2 linked regions of the Arabidopsis thaliana genome follow. The protein of the gene in region 1 interacts with the protein of each later gene in a pairwise test. Each region holds a gene or a part of one and is shown on either strand. Other genes may lie near its edges.

Evidence for each region.
Region 2: the proteins of EDA25 (region 1) and AT2G18220 interact in a two-hybrid assay, tested with the Arabidopsis thaliana proteins (one study listed by BioGRID).

What each region holds. Positions count from the first base shown.
Region 1 is NC_003070.9:27,267,893-27,275,576, forward strand, and holds EDA25 (CCAAT-binding factor), read right to left. Parts: upstream 6,044-7,684; 5' UTR 5,705-6,043; coding exon 4,987-5,704; intron 4,898-4,986; coding exon 4,825-4,897; intron 4,730-4,824; coding exon 4,610-4,729; intron 4,485-4,609; coding exon 4,409-4,484; intron 4,172-4,408; coding exon 4,103-4,171; intron 4,010-4,102; coding exon 3,929-4,009; intron 3,829-3,928; coding exon 3,757-3,828; intron 3,539-3,756; coding exon 3,446-3,538; intron 3,240-3,445; coding exon 3,090-3,239; intron 2,991-3,089; coding exon 2,907-2,990; intron 2,821-2,906; coding exon 2,677-2,820; intron 2,414-2,676; coding exon 2,324-2,413; intron 2,129-2,323; coding exon 2,046-2,128; intron 1,956-2,045; coding exon 1,572-1,955; intron 1,420-1,571; coding exon 1,197-1,419; intron 1,105-1,196; coding exon 433-1,104; 3' UTR 200-432; downstream 1-199. Other genes in the region: JAZ6 (jasmonate-zim-domain protein 6), read right to left, coding at 6,444-6,648, 7,173-7,499, 7,652-7,684. UniProt on the Arabidopsis thaliana protein: Together with NOC2, probably involved in pre-ribosome export from the nucleus to the cytoplasm. Required for coordinated cell cycle progression during female gametophyte and pollen development.
Region 2 is NC_003071.7:7,926,061-7,932,493, forward strand, and holds AT2G18220 (Noc2p family), read left to right. Parts: upstream 1-1,954; 5' UTR 1,955-2,002; intron 2,003-2,164; 5' UTR 2,165-2,193; coding exon 2,194-2,206; intron 2,207-2,292; coding exon 2,293-2,486; intron 2,487-2,586; coding exon 2,587-2,658; intron 2,659-2,748; coding exon 2,749-3,303; intron 3,304-3,391; coding exon 3,392-3,694; intron 3,695-3,795; coding exon 3,796-4,125; intron 4,126-4,219; coding exon 4,220-4,426; intron 4,427-4,547; coding exon 4,548-4,634; intron 4,635-4,856; coding exon 4,857-4,951; intron 4,952-5,038; coding exon 5,039-5,170; intron 5,171-5,484; coding exon 5,485-5,791; 3' UTR 5,792-5,893; downstream 5,894-6,433. Other genes in the region: PPa2 (pyrophosphorylase 2), read right to left, coding at 6,079-6,121, 6,203-6,284, 6,376-6,433. UniProt on the Arabidopsis thaliana protein: Together with SWA2, probably involved in pre-ribosome export from the nucleus to the cytoplasm.

The sequences.
Region 1 (7,684 bases):
AATGTTTTTTTTTTTTAATACGATTTTAAAGGATCGGTTATCCCTAAAAAAAAGTAAGATTTAAGGTTACATAAGAACTAAGCATGTCTTAATCATATCACTCAAGTAAAGATCAAAGATGATTTTACTAACTACCCAATTACCACTATATCAACTTGGATTCTCACGCCTGCCATAATACCATCACATTCACATCACTAAGTTCAATATTTGATTTTAAAAATACTCAATTTTTGTGATATTTGAACAAAGTTTCAAGTGATTAAATTAAAACATAATCGTACAGTTATTCTCTTCAAAGATGAAAACATTAGGAAGAAAGAAATACAAAACAAACGCCACAAAATTGGAGTGACTATCTCCAGCGTTACACAGTATAATAATAATACTCAACATAAGGAGCCTTGCATAGCAAGCAACAAGTCTTGCTTCTTACTCTGATGCTTTAGACTTCTTCTTTTTCTTCTTCTTTGTGGGCTCTGATGTTGCTTTTCTTTTAGTCTTCGAATCCTCTTTCTCGTCTTGGTCTATCAAATGCTTGTACTCTTCAAGACTCGCAAATGGAGATTTCCGTTTTCTTTTCTCTTTCTTTTTCTTCTTACTACGACCATCATCACCATCACTATCATCATCACCACCATCACCAGTACCATCATCATCAACGTTGTTATCATCTTCATCATCAATCAGGTCCATGTCCATGTCTGTGTCCATCTCTGCATCGCTCACATCAGCCACGAGCTCTTCATCATCCTCGCCGGCTACTCCATCTAGATCATCATAGTCATATTCACCGCCCTCTTCTTCCACAGCATTATCATCAACATCATCCAGCATATTCTCAATCTCCTCATTGTCACTCTCATCACCAGCCTCGAATTCAACATCACTATCGTAGTTTTCTCCACCATCTCCATCATTCACATCGTAAAGTTCTTCAGCAGCTTCTTCTTCAGGTAGCTTCTTCTTCTTCTTTTTCTTTGACTGCTTCGTACTGGTCATCTTGTTCACATAGAACTTGTGGAAGACTAGATCTTCAGGAGCCACATCTCCTTCTGCTAATGAGAGAATTTCAGCTCCAATCACACGGTTTGACATGTCAAGCTGCAACATGAGATGAGAAAATAAAACGTTACAGGGGAAAAGTAGATAACAATATGGTTAAAGCTTTAATAGTTGAAGCATGAGCTTTTTACCTTCTTGGAAGGTTCAATCTGGGAACCACCATGCCAAGTGTTTTGCTTTGGTTTCTTCTCCATGAATTTATCCAAGAAAGCAGTTAGAGATAAATCGTTCAGCGGGTTTCCGTTGTAAACAATATTTGTTCCTGAGAGAAGGGTTCCAGCCATTGTAGCAACCGAGGGGTGAGCATGTTTTGAAAGAACCCCCAATTCCCACCAACTTGCACGGTCTGCGTTACTGTTAATTTGAGATCAAGGATTCAGTTCCAACCAATAAGGCTATAATATCAAGAAAGTTTTTAAAATATTATCGTTGTTCCAAGTATCGCTTGTTTAATGGGGACAAAAGCAGTATACTTAAGCTTTTGATGAAAGATGAGATTAACTAACCAGTAAGAAGGTTCTCTATGACGAGGATCATATCCTCCAGGAAGAGAACTCGGTCTCATTGGCGGTTGGCTTCTTTTTTCCATATCATTAGAAACCTCCATGACTTCTTCAAGCTGGGGAGTTTCGTTTCTAATTAGCTCTTCAGAATCATCAGAAGCATTATCATCTTCTTCATCAGATAGCCTGATTGCCAAAGCCTCTTCGTCATCTGAAGAAGAATCACCATCTCTACTTGACTTTTCGACACCATCATGATCAACTTCAACAACATTCTCGTCATTCTCTGCTTTCTTATTGGGATCAACATCATCTCCCTCTATCACATCCTCAAAATGTTCTATATCTTCTTCTTCCTCAACTGATTCCCTCTGGACCACCATCTTCCTGCAACGTAAATAGAAGGACCCATTGTATCATTGGGTAAAAAAACTAAAAACCATGGATATGTGGTTAACAGAACGAAAAAAAGCTTACCATAGAGGTGGCCTTGATTTTAAGACTTCAGATAATAGGAAAAGGCATCCACAGGCATACTGTGGTGGCTGTTGAAGCGCAACCTACTCAAATCGTTAAAGAGTACACTTGAGAGATGACAAAAAAATTTACTATACAGTGTGTCGACATCGAAAATTTAATAACAAAAGAATCAAGATTCCTGTATAGGATCAATGATGCGAATATTGTCATCATTGTCAATGAAACTAGAGCTACAAACGACGGGGTTGATGGTTTATATGATTCATGTTACCGACCTGCAAGACTCTTTTGGAGAAGGCAGCCACACGCTTGATATTTATATCATTTTTCATGGCTCTGAGAAGAAGCCCAATAAACATTTCAGCCTGCAAATTAAGAACGGCAACTTAGTAAACTCGGTCATTAAGAAAATGCTATGGTTCATGCCAGGGGCAGACATCTTGATGTTTTTGTCACAATATAAGTTGCTTTCACAAGATTATAAATAAATGAATGTACTTATGCCAACATTCATAAACCAATTCCGGGCTCTACCAAATTGTAAGGGTTATTATAACCCATACATAAACTAAGAATAAAATGACGTGATTGGAACATGGAAAAACAGAAGGTTCAAAGTTTAGCTTGCCTTGGAAGAATTCATTGCGGAGGGGAGTAGAAGTTTCGAGTACAATGCACGGTAAAACCTGTCACTAACAATCTTATTCTTGGATGAGATCTTGTCAAGAAGCATCAGTGATTGGACTCCTACATTGAAATTCGCCGAATGTACCTACATATTCAAAATCCCATTTTCTATATCAATTTTCGGTTGTAACTATGAAACTAAACTTCTATAATGAAGCTTTAAATGGTTACCAGTTTGAAAAGCACTGGCGTCTGGGATTCAATTATATCATCAGCCTCGTCAGTGGAAACATATGGAAAAGCTCTGTTAACTCCCTGCACTTACGGAGTACTAAAGCATAAGTTGATCTGTGAAGTCTCAATACTTTAAAATTACATACATCATGTACACCAAAAAAACACATCCAGACTAACCGTCAGTAGAGCTGATAGAATTCTTGAATCCAACTCAATAGGTGAATCAGTTGACACTTCTTGCTTTGTGTCCTTTGGGTTGGATTTTTTCTTATCAGCGGCTCCTTTGTCATCTGCACCTTGTTTCCTATTTGCTTCTGTAGTTAAAACCTACAAGAATGCAAACACACTTCTGTAGTGAATATCCAACTAGTGAAAGATTTCATGTTATGACTTATGACAAACGCCACCCCAAAAGAAAACACTAAGGGGTAGCAGAAGTCTCTGAGATCATGAAAGTAAGGTGGAAGTGGAGGGACTAAATTTTAAGAAGATCATAAGGAAATGTTAAATTTATTGACTTCAATGCCAGTTACCTTAAACAGGGCAAAATATACATCAATTAGACGTTTTGCCACCTTTGGATCCTCTCCTTTGTGGCTCAATCGGATCTGACTCAAAAAGTTAACCTGTGAAATTTACAAAGATTAATGAGCATTGTTTAGAAAGCTAAACATGGATAAGTTTATGCTTCTTTTCTTTTCTAAAGTCTTAGTAAAATTGTTTCCCATTCAAATCAAAGACAATACTTTAGACGACAATAAGCGTGAATCAGTTTAAAAAGAAGAGCAAGAAAATAAAGAAAAATGGTTCTCGTGAACATAATTAGAGAGAACAATGGACATACAGCATGATACTTTGCTCGTAACCCAAGATGGGGTCGGAAGAGAAAGGAGTCAACTTCATCTATAACCACAGCCTGAAAAAAAATAACATTACATGAGCCAAAGAGAAGAATCCAAACAACCAATTAATAAACGAAATACTGAAACTGGCATAGGAAGGTTGAATAGCCGTACCTTCATGTTAGGATGATCAGCCAAAAGATTTGTCAGATGATAATCAGCATTAGATGCACTCTTGTTTTGAGGATCCCCCAACTATAATATAAAGTAATCCATGGAACAATTAAAGGGATCACAACTGAGAAATTTAAATTAGATACAAATATTTGAATGAACAACAAACAATACCTTGTTCACCAATGACACTAGCAATTTCCGCTCTTGTTCTGATTTGCTTGTCAACATGAAATATATTGTCTGAAACCAAACAAGAAAAAATTTACTGAAGGAAAGATCCGAATCACGTTACCAAGCAAAAAAACTCACTGTAGCTAAAAGAAAACTACGGACCATGCCGTTATGCATCATCCAGAGAAGGATTACATTGATGATACTCAAATCTCTAATATTAAAGCTCATCAAGAATCTTACAAAACCTGGAGACCAGTGCTACTAAACAAGCTAGCACGAGCAGAGTGGTGATAGGATATATACCTTTAAAGCCTTGTCCTTCAGCTCTGGAAGCATATCTTTAGATGATTCATCAAGGGCTGTGACGAAGCGCTCATACCTACAAAGTCAGCATGCTAAGCTGTTAAACGAATCATCGACCCAGAACAATTACGGATAGAAGACACAGATCTTTGACATAGTGTGATTAAACACATCCCTCATGGCATGATTTGAGATCTTTACCTCTGTTTCAAGCAATCCTCCCAGTACCAAAACAGCAAAAGCGAGTAACCATCCTTATTTTCCGGAATGATGTTTAAAGGTCGCTGTAAAAGTGACTTCAGCTTGCGATCAGGTAATAACCTGAAGAAAGAATTTAAAAAACCTCAGTCAATGAGAAAAAGATGCAAGACTGACACATAAATCCATAGCTCATTGTGTGAGTAAGAAAAATGTGCCTGATCAAAATTTCTGATAGAGCCTTAAGACCCTTAAATGCAAATCTTTTTCCAACCTTTGAGGTCACCATTCCTGCAATGAACAGAGTAGATAATGTGAACAAGACATCAACAAAATGCTACAGAGGATTTCACCATTGAAAAACAAAACCAGAAACATACCCAATAAGGCATCAAGAGATCTCATATTTGCAATGGGATTCTCTCCAACCATAATCTCAAAGGCAGTGATTTTATCAGCAACTGTCCCAGACTTTTGAGCAGAAATCACCATCTTCATATCTCCACCTTTTCCTTTCGAAGTTGCAAAGTCCTCTGCGTATTGCCACATCAATCTCTCTCCTAATTCTCTCTTCTTCTCCACCACACCCTTAAAATCCTCCTTATTCGCCACCGCCACTTTCCGGCCACCAAACACCTTCTCCTCAAACTCAGCTGCATCGTTGTACCATTCAGAGCTCAATAAACTCGCTTTCACCAATGGTAACTTAGGCAAACTCTTGAATTCATCGAAACGTTTTTTCTTGTACCCAGTACTCTCATCATCAATCGATAAGAATCCAGGCTTTGGCTTCGGTTGTAACGTTTGCTTCACCGGTGCATCTTTGTTTTGCTTCCTCGCTCCAAAATCTTTTCCCTTTTCATTCCCAATGTTCGATTTTGGCTCTCCTTCTTCATCTTCATCCTTGTGTTGCTGATCCTTCTTAGGCTTTTTCCGTTTCTGGGTTTTGGATTTAGCTGGTTTTCGGAAATCAGTGTCGTTGAAACCCGAAGAAGGAAGAGCAGAAGCTAAGCCAATAGAAGAAGCGAATGATGCGATATCAGATGTGAGAAGACTCAAGTCCTGCGATGATTTACTCAAAGGCTTTATCTTTGACATTTTTTCTCAAAGCATATGAAGAGGGTTAAGAGAGTTTTGTGAGAGATGACTGTTTTTAAAAGAACTGAGACAGTTAGGTTTAAGCAATCTCTGTGCTTTGAGATCGAACAATGAAAAAGAAAGATAAACTTCAATGTTTGGGGTTCAACAGAAATTTTTAGGGTTTTAGAAAACGGCAAGAGAGAAGCAGACAGAGGAAATGGTAGAAGGCTAATTTCGTAATTACGGGATAAGACAAGGGCAAAACAGACTTAACGACCTAAAATCAATGAGACGATGTTTTTTCATTAAGGTTGGGTTCCTGAGACGGTCCAGCCCAATCGCTAGAACATTCAATGCAAATCCATAACTGGTGAGATTTCGATCATGTGGTAAAATATTATACTAATATCTTTGATAGAAACATTATATGTATATCTTTGAAACCTATTATAGGTTAATATACTTTTGCCACTTAGAAAAATTACTAACAACGCAAATCCATCACTGGTGAGATTATATCAGGTGATTAAAAAATTTCGATAAAGGGTAATCCAGATGACAATTTTAATTAAAGAATCTAAAAAACAAGTATCAAAATATGTATGTTTTGAAATATAAATACTAGCTACGTAATACAGTACTATAAATAACTTAAATTGGTCAAAAGTAATGGAAGAAAATATAAAAGGGTATTTGGGTTCAAATCCTAAATAAGTGAAAACTAGAAACGTGAACTCGATCGTGCATTTTATACGCCCTAAAGCTTGAGTTCAAGGTTTTTGGAAGATTGTCCTTCTTTCTTGTCCACCTCCATCGGCATATGGTTATGGGCCTTTGGTTTTGGAGGAGTTGCAATGTGTTGCGACGATTGGCCTGACTTTATCGATGGAGCAACCATCTCTGGCTTGGGAGGAAGATGACTACCGTGTTGGTTCACTTGATATGGAGCTCTAGCCACAGCCCTGAAATCAAAACAATTAATCAACATTTAAGACAAAGTAGATATTGAAGTTTTGATTTACAAAGAACTCTTAGTTAGTGTTTTTTAACTAGAAATTTCTCGACATTTTACTAATAATTTTCCTAGATCAAGGACACATAGATGATGGACTCATATCTCTTATATACTACTCTAGGTCCCATCTCGAATTTCATTGTAACTTGTAAGATTTTTTACATGTTCTTTATAAATGATGACACTTGAGTCACATCTCGAAATCTTACTCTAGGAATCATAATTCATAAACATACTAGGACCACCCTATGTTCAATTTCATGAATGTTCAACTTAAACTTGATTGGTAATACGCTTCTAATCCGATGTGGGATTCCTAGAATAACTCGAATAAGTCTTAATATGGTAATTATTAGCTATTTTTACATATAACTTTTTTAAGAAACTTTGATCCTAATCTATGCATACATTTTGACGAGCGGCCTAGAAAAAGCATAACCAAGCACAAAACAGTTTCGGAGTTTAGTTTACCTGTCTTTTCGTTTAGCAAAGAATCGATGAAGAGAAGCTCTTCTTGCAATGCGTTCCACAACCTGATGTTGCTGCCCAGTTTCTTGATCTTCATTGTTCCCGGAACTCGTTGGCTCGTTAAGATCGGGAATCACCACGTTGCTTTTGTCAAGATTCATGTGACTCTGACTGTTCTTAGAATCAACAGCAACATGATTCGCTTCTTTAGCTACTTCCATTATCTCCTTAGCTTTGTCTTCAGGAAACTCGTTGAAAACCATAACTTTTCCTCCAAAGAATATGGTCAACTGTGAATTTCCAGACTCCGGTGCTACTTTTGCCGGTTCACTAAAATCAAATCAAACCCATTTTTACAATTAGTCAAACTCCATAGTCCATACATCTATAACCGGTAGTTCTTTCTCTAATTCAATTGCTACAAAATGTGAAAACAAACACTTTAGGAGTTCGAATACATATGAAGTTTGTGTGTACAGTACCTGAGATCAATATATATGGCTTTGTCTTCGGTA
Region 2 (6,433 bases), on another chromosome or scaffold:
TATCTTCCGTTAATAAACTAAACATAGACTAAGACTTGCATTGCATGATAAACGTTGTGTTAACAATAGAATAAACACATACTTATTATATATGTGTTTATAAACACAATTAATAAACAAAAGAAATGACGACAAGCACATGGTTGATTGGTTTATATATTAGTCCATCACGTAACCAAATGATTGAAAATATTTGTAATTCATGAATAGCTACAACTGTAAAAAGAAAATTCTGAATTACACAAAAAGAATTTGGTTAAATTTAAAGGATAGTATATGCACAGAGACCAATCTTTTGCATTTTCAAATCGGTCAAAGCATCAGTTGCTTTCGAATCGTTGGAACTTGGAAGCTGCTAAGCGCTAACTAGAGAAACTTGTCTTTCGACCGATAAAATTTAAAGGATATGAAATTCGTGATACACACAAATTTATAAATAGCTGTTAACATTTACTGACCAAAATAATATAAGTTATGTGAAAAAGTTTGAAAAATAACACAATATTTTTTTTTGTTCACTAAAATATTATAAATTATGCGAACATTGAGTTTTTTATTTTGCCATTTAAAATGTTCACAGTGGCTAACATGATTGAAATCTTAGTAGTAAGACTCAAAGTTAGTCATTCAACTACCATAGTGAATCTTTTAACCACGAAACCACCATAATCAGTCTTCCTGTAAATAATCACCTAATCGGATGTTGCTACCTAATAAAAAATTATTCATTTAACTATAAAATTTATCTATCACAAAACGAAATTATATATCCGTTTGGGTTTACTAGAGAGGATTAATGATTATATTTTATGATTAAACAAAATTAGCTATCTGTTTGGATTTATAAACGAGTTTATATTTTACAAGTAAATGAGGTTAAATGTCAGTTAAGATTTATAAAAGAATTTAGATTTTATAATTAAACGAGATTAAATATCGGTTTGAGTTTAGAAAAAACGGTTAGATTTAAATTTTATAATTAAACGAGTTTAAATATCGGTTTGAATTTAAAAAAGAGAATTAGAGTTTAGATTTTGTAATCAAACGAGATCATATATCATGTTTGATTTATGAAAAACAATTAGACCATTCACATTGCATAACCTCTCATGTATGTCTTAAAGACTAACCATAGTTAAAATTAAAGACATTTCCTTTTGGATGTCAAAAATATCTTCCTTAAGATATTTTAGACATCTAAAAAATAAAATGTTTTTAATTTTAATCATGGTTAGTCTATTTTTACCATGGTTGGTCTTGGAGACATTAATAAAAGATTATGCAATGTAGATGCTTTTAGTATTTAGAATGGAAGTGAAAAAAAGAATTCATCGTAAAGATGAACTCAAGAATTGTTCGATAATATATGTGTTATTTTCAAAAATACTTTAATTTATAAATAATGAATATTTGATATCTTTTAAGTAAATAAAAAATGTGGTAAAATGAAAATAACTAAACAAAAAAAAACTTGAAATATACAAGGGATTGGGAAATGTCATGCATAAGATACTTTGGGGTTTGATGACATAGATGAATAAAGATTTTGAAGAACACATGCCGGTTAAAGCCTAAATAATTCGGTTAAACACTCGCAAATTGGATTTTTGGTTAAACCAATTGGTAGACGTGTCAAACCTAAACCTTCCATTGCGCTAAGACGTTTCGAAACTCACAAAGATAAACCCTAAAACAATAAACTTTTCCTCAGACATCAGCCTCGGCGACCACGACAACAACTTCATTTTTTCTCGTCGAGTTTTTTTCTGGGAATTGCAGGTAATCTCTCGTTAACGTGCCCCTCTGGTTTCTCAAATTTGGGAACTCTGTTTTTGTTCTGTTCTGGGAAAGTAGAACAATTCGAATTACGGTTCGACCGAAGTCAAACCGGGTTTTGTCCGGTTAAATAAATTGAAAGAAAAAACAAAGGAACACTGTAATAAAAACCCTCTCCTAAAACCCTAATTTCTTCTTCTCTCCGTCTTCCTTCTTGTTGTTCCCGGTGCGATTTCTTTCATTTTGATTTCGATAGTTTATTCTTCTCCTTGTTTTCACTGTTTGTGTGATTGATTCTCTCCATGAATTGATAATTCTTACACTATTGTCTTTTAGCTCGACTCTTAAACTGATTTGTTCTTGTTACCATTGATGGTTTTAATTGCAGGTGGATTTATCAGAGTGTTGTGCTAACAAATGGGTGCCAAAGGTTCGATTTTTATCCAGTTTTTGGATTTATATTGTAATTAGAGCTTAAGGGATTCGAGATTGATAAACACTTTAAATCAAATGTAGATGATAAAAAGCGTGTGAAGAAGTTGAAATCTAAGAAACTAGAAGCTGAGGAAGAGCTCAATAATGTTCAAGAAATCGATGCACATGATATAGTAATGGAGCAGAAGAGCGATAAGAAGCGTGGGAAGAAGGTGAAATCTAAGAAAGCAGAAGCTGAGGAGCATGAAGAAGAGCTTAAGAGGCTTCAAGAAAAGGTGAGTCATCTATGAAACATGTTTGGTTGCGATATTGTAATGATATATTAGTGGAAAGTTGAGTTTTTTTTTTAACTTTACGGATTTTTTTGTTCCGCAGGATCCTGATTTTTTTCAGTATATGAAAGAGCATGATGCAGAGCTTCTAAAGTTTGATGCTACTGAAATTGAGGTGAGTTTTGTTAGTTTGTATATGTTGAGTTTGTGACTCGACTTCCAGTTGTGTTGGAAGCTTTTTGTCTTAGGGATTCACATTTTGTAGGATGATGCTGATGTTGAACCTGATACTGACCTGGAAGACACTGAAAAGGAAGGTGATGATGAAGCAACAAAGATGGAAATTGCAAAGAAAGTGCACGTGCAGAAAACGATTACAGCATCGATGGTTGATGCATGGAGTAAATCAATCGAAGATGAAGCGAAGCTAGGTGGAGTGCGTTCTATCTTGAGAGCTTATAGAACTGCCTGTCACTATGGTGATGATACCGGGGACGATCAATCGACAAAGTTTAGTGTTATGTCAAGTGAGGTGTTTAATAAGATAATGATATATGTTCTGAGTGAAATGGACGGGATTCTTCGTAAGTTGTTAAGGTTTCCTGAAGATACTAGAGGAACAAAAGAGACTATATTGGAGCTCACAAACACTAGGCCTTGGAAAAACTATAATCATTTAGTCAAATCATATCTTGGGAATTCCCTTCATGTTCTGAACCAGATGACCGACACAGAAATGATAACCTTTACTCTGCGCCGCCTAAAGCACTCATCGGTTTTTTTAGCTGCTTTTCCTAGCCTCCTAAGGAAATATATTAAGGTGTGTTGGAGCAAGATAGTATTCTGTTCATGTTTCTTCTTTATGGTCCTTTCTTTGCTCACTTCATTGTTGCTCTTCTGCCATCTAGGTTGCACTTCATTTCTGGGGAACTGGTAGTGGTGCGCTCCCTGTTGTTTCCTTGTTGTTCCTGAGAGATTTGTGCATACGCCTTGGATCTGACTGTGTTGATGACTGTTTCAAGGGAATGTACAAAGCGTATGTGTTGAATTGCCAGTTTGTGAATGCTGATAAATTGAAGCATATTTCGTTTCTTGGTAACTGCTTCATTGAGCTTCTCGGCACAGATATCTCTGCAGCATATCAGCATGCATTTGTCTTCATAAGACAATTGGCAATGATTCTGCGTGAAGCGCTTAACACAAAAACAAAAGTACTTTCTCAATAATCTTCATAAATTGAGTTCTTCTGACAACAATTATGTGTTGAGAAAAGTTGCTGTTAACTCTTATTTACATTTGGTTGTTTTCACAGGAAGCATTTCGAAAAGTGTATCAATGGAAATTCATCCATTGCCTTGAGCTTTGGACTGGAGCTGTTTGTGCCTACAGCTCTCAGTCTGAACTCAGACCAGTTGCTTATCCGCTAGCCCAAATAATAACTGGTGTAGCGCGACTGGTTCCCACGGCTCGCTACACTCCCCTTAGACTAAGATGTGTTCGTATGCTAAACAGGCTTGCTGCTGCGACTGGCACCTTTATACCTGTCTCAATGCTTCTTGTGGACATGTTAGAGATGAAGGAGCTCAACAGACCTCCCACTGGAGGTGTTGGCAAAGGTGTAGACTTACGCACACTACTGAAGGTAAAAACTTGCGTGGTTGGGTCTTTACTAATAGAGTATAGAATGAAACTTTATCCTGCAAACTAACCATTTTGGATATTGGCTCTCTTTTTAGGTAAGTAAACCAGCAGTGAAGACAAGAGCGTTTCAGGAGGCATGTGTTTATACAGTAGTGGAGGAGCTTGTGGAGCATTTGTCTCAGTGGAGTTGTTCCGTTGCTTTCTTTGAACTATCATTTATCCCGACCATAAGGCTGCGTAGCTTTTGCAAATCCACGAAAGCTGAGAGGTTTAGGAAAGAAATGAAGCAACTCATCAGCCAGGTAATAAAGAGAAAAAAAGAGAAATGCGGTTTTACTTTATGTCTCTTGTACTTGCAATAAAAGAACCGACTTTATTGACTTGTGTGTTGATGACTCCTTCAATCTCTCTTTTGCTTTTCAGATTGAAGCTAACTCAGAATTTGTCAACAAAAAGAGAGCTTTGATTAAGTTTCTACCCAATGATCTTGCTGCTGAATCATTCCTTGAGGTTTAGTAACTCATTTCTCTTGATCCATTTGATTTTTTCAATTGTTAGTGATGATAATACAAAACCTATATTTGTTTCTTTCTTCCCGTCTTTGAAACTACTGCTGCATTCTTCGAAAATTTTGTGGGATACCACAAGTTGTTTATGATTACAGAACACATGTTTACTCCAAAATGATTGCAAACATGGTTTCAAATTATTTTTTGGGTCTTCTCTGTTCAGGATGAGAAGAAAGCAGGAAAAACCCCTCTATTGCAATATGCGGAAATTATCCGCCAAAGAGCCCAGCAAAGAAACGAATCGCTGGTGGAATCTGAGTGCGTTACATTCCTCTAAAGTTGATCACTTGTATATTTTTGTTGTATGACTTTGACGGATACTAATAATCCGTTTGGTTTCTCCAGTGTAATTGTGGGAGAGAACTCAGCTGTCTTTGGGAAAAACGCACCAAGCAGTGATGATGAAGATGATGAAGATAGGATGGAAAAGGGTGCTGCAGCTTTCAATTCTTCTTGGTTACCGGGAAGTGACTCCAAGTATGTCTCTCTTTCTCTTAAAATGCACACATATCGGGGTTTCATATGGTATAGCACCGCCAACGGTAGTGTATGGTGCGAGTAGGTTAAAAATTACTTCCCCAAATATCACCAAGTAATATAGATTAGGCCTGGTCGGGTCTATGGTTTTAAGGCCTTCTGTTTATTTCTTAGTACTTTGGACATTTATGGGTGGCTTTATCAACTTAAGAATATAGATAGGATGGGAACCGGGTTGTCTCCTACGCCTATAACGTAGATATTTTATCTGACCGTTGTGATATAACCTAAAACAACAAATGTGTAATTAACAGAGAAAAAGAGCCGGAAGAAGAGAAAACGAAAAAGAAGAAAAGGAAGAGAGGTGGAAAGAGTAAAACAGAGAAGAAGCAGGATGAGCAAGGCTTAGGAGAAGATGACGTTGTGGAGGATTTTGTGTTGAGTTCTGATGAAGAGGAAGAGGATCTGTTTGATATAGGAGGAGACAAAGATGAAGATGATGCAGTAGACGAAATTGCAGATCCTGAGACCAAGACATCTAAGAAGACTAAGGGCACTTATAAGACCTGGCATAAGGCTTACAAAAAGACCAAGAAGAAGAAGGCCCGAGTAGCTTCTTAAGTTTTTTTTGTATCTTCTTCGATTTGTATGAGAGTACTTTTCGGATGTTTGCGAAACAACATTAAACAAAATTTTGGGGAAAAGAAAAGCTAATATTTCAAATTTTATGATTGTACTGGAAATTTTTCATCATCATCAGAAAGCTTTAAGTTCAACAATGTTTTCTGATGAGCATTACGAAATTAAATGCACCAATTGAAATTTTATCTAACATGCATGTAGTATAGAAGGCGGCTTCAGTGATGTCTAAGCAAACCGGGAGGAACGGAAAAGGACTGGTTTCTTCATTAGCGTTGCAGGCCAGCTTTGATGTAAGCTGCGTAAAGATCCCTGCGTTTCAAAACAGTACATTGCTCATTATTAACAAAACAACGTGTAAATAATTTGGTGTTTGGGATAAAACAAACTTACATGGAGTCCTTGATAGCGTCTATGGCAGCTTGAGCGGGAAGGAAAGCTTCAACGTCGACTTTCTTGTTCTCGTTCTTCTTGTCTAAAAACATTGTTTGTTAAGTGAAAACTGAAAACAAATCATAAGCGAAAACAAAATTATACGTTAAATGCAACATGTCTCTGTAGGATACAGTCCTCAAAGAAGCGACGGATTTCAGCTAGACGGTGAGGGGGAAGCTCTTTGATGTC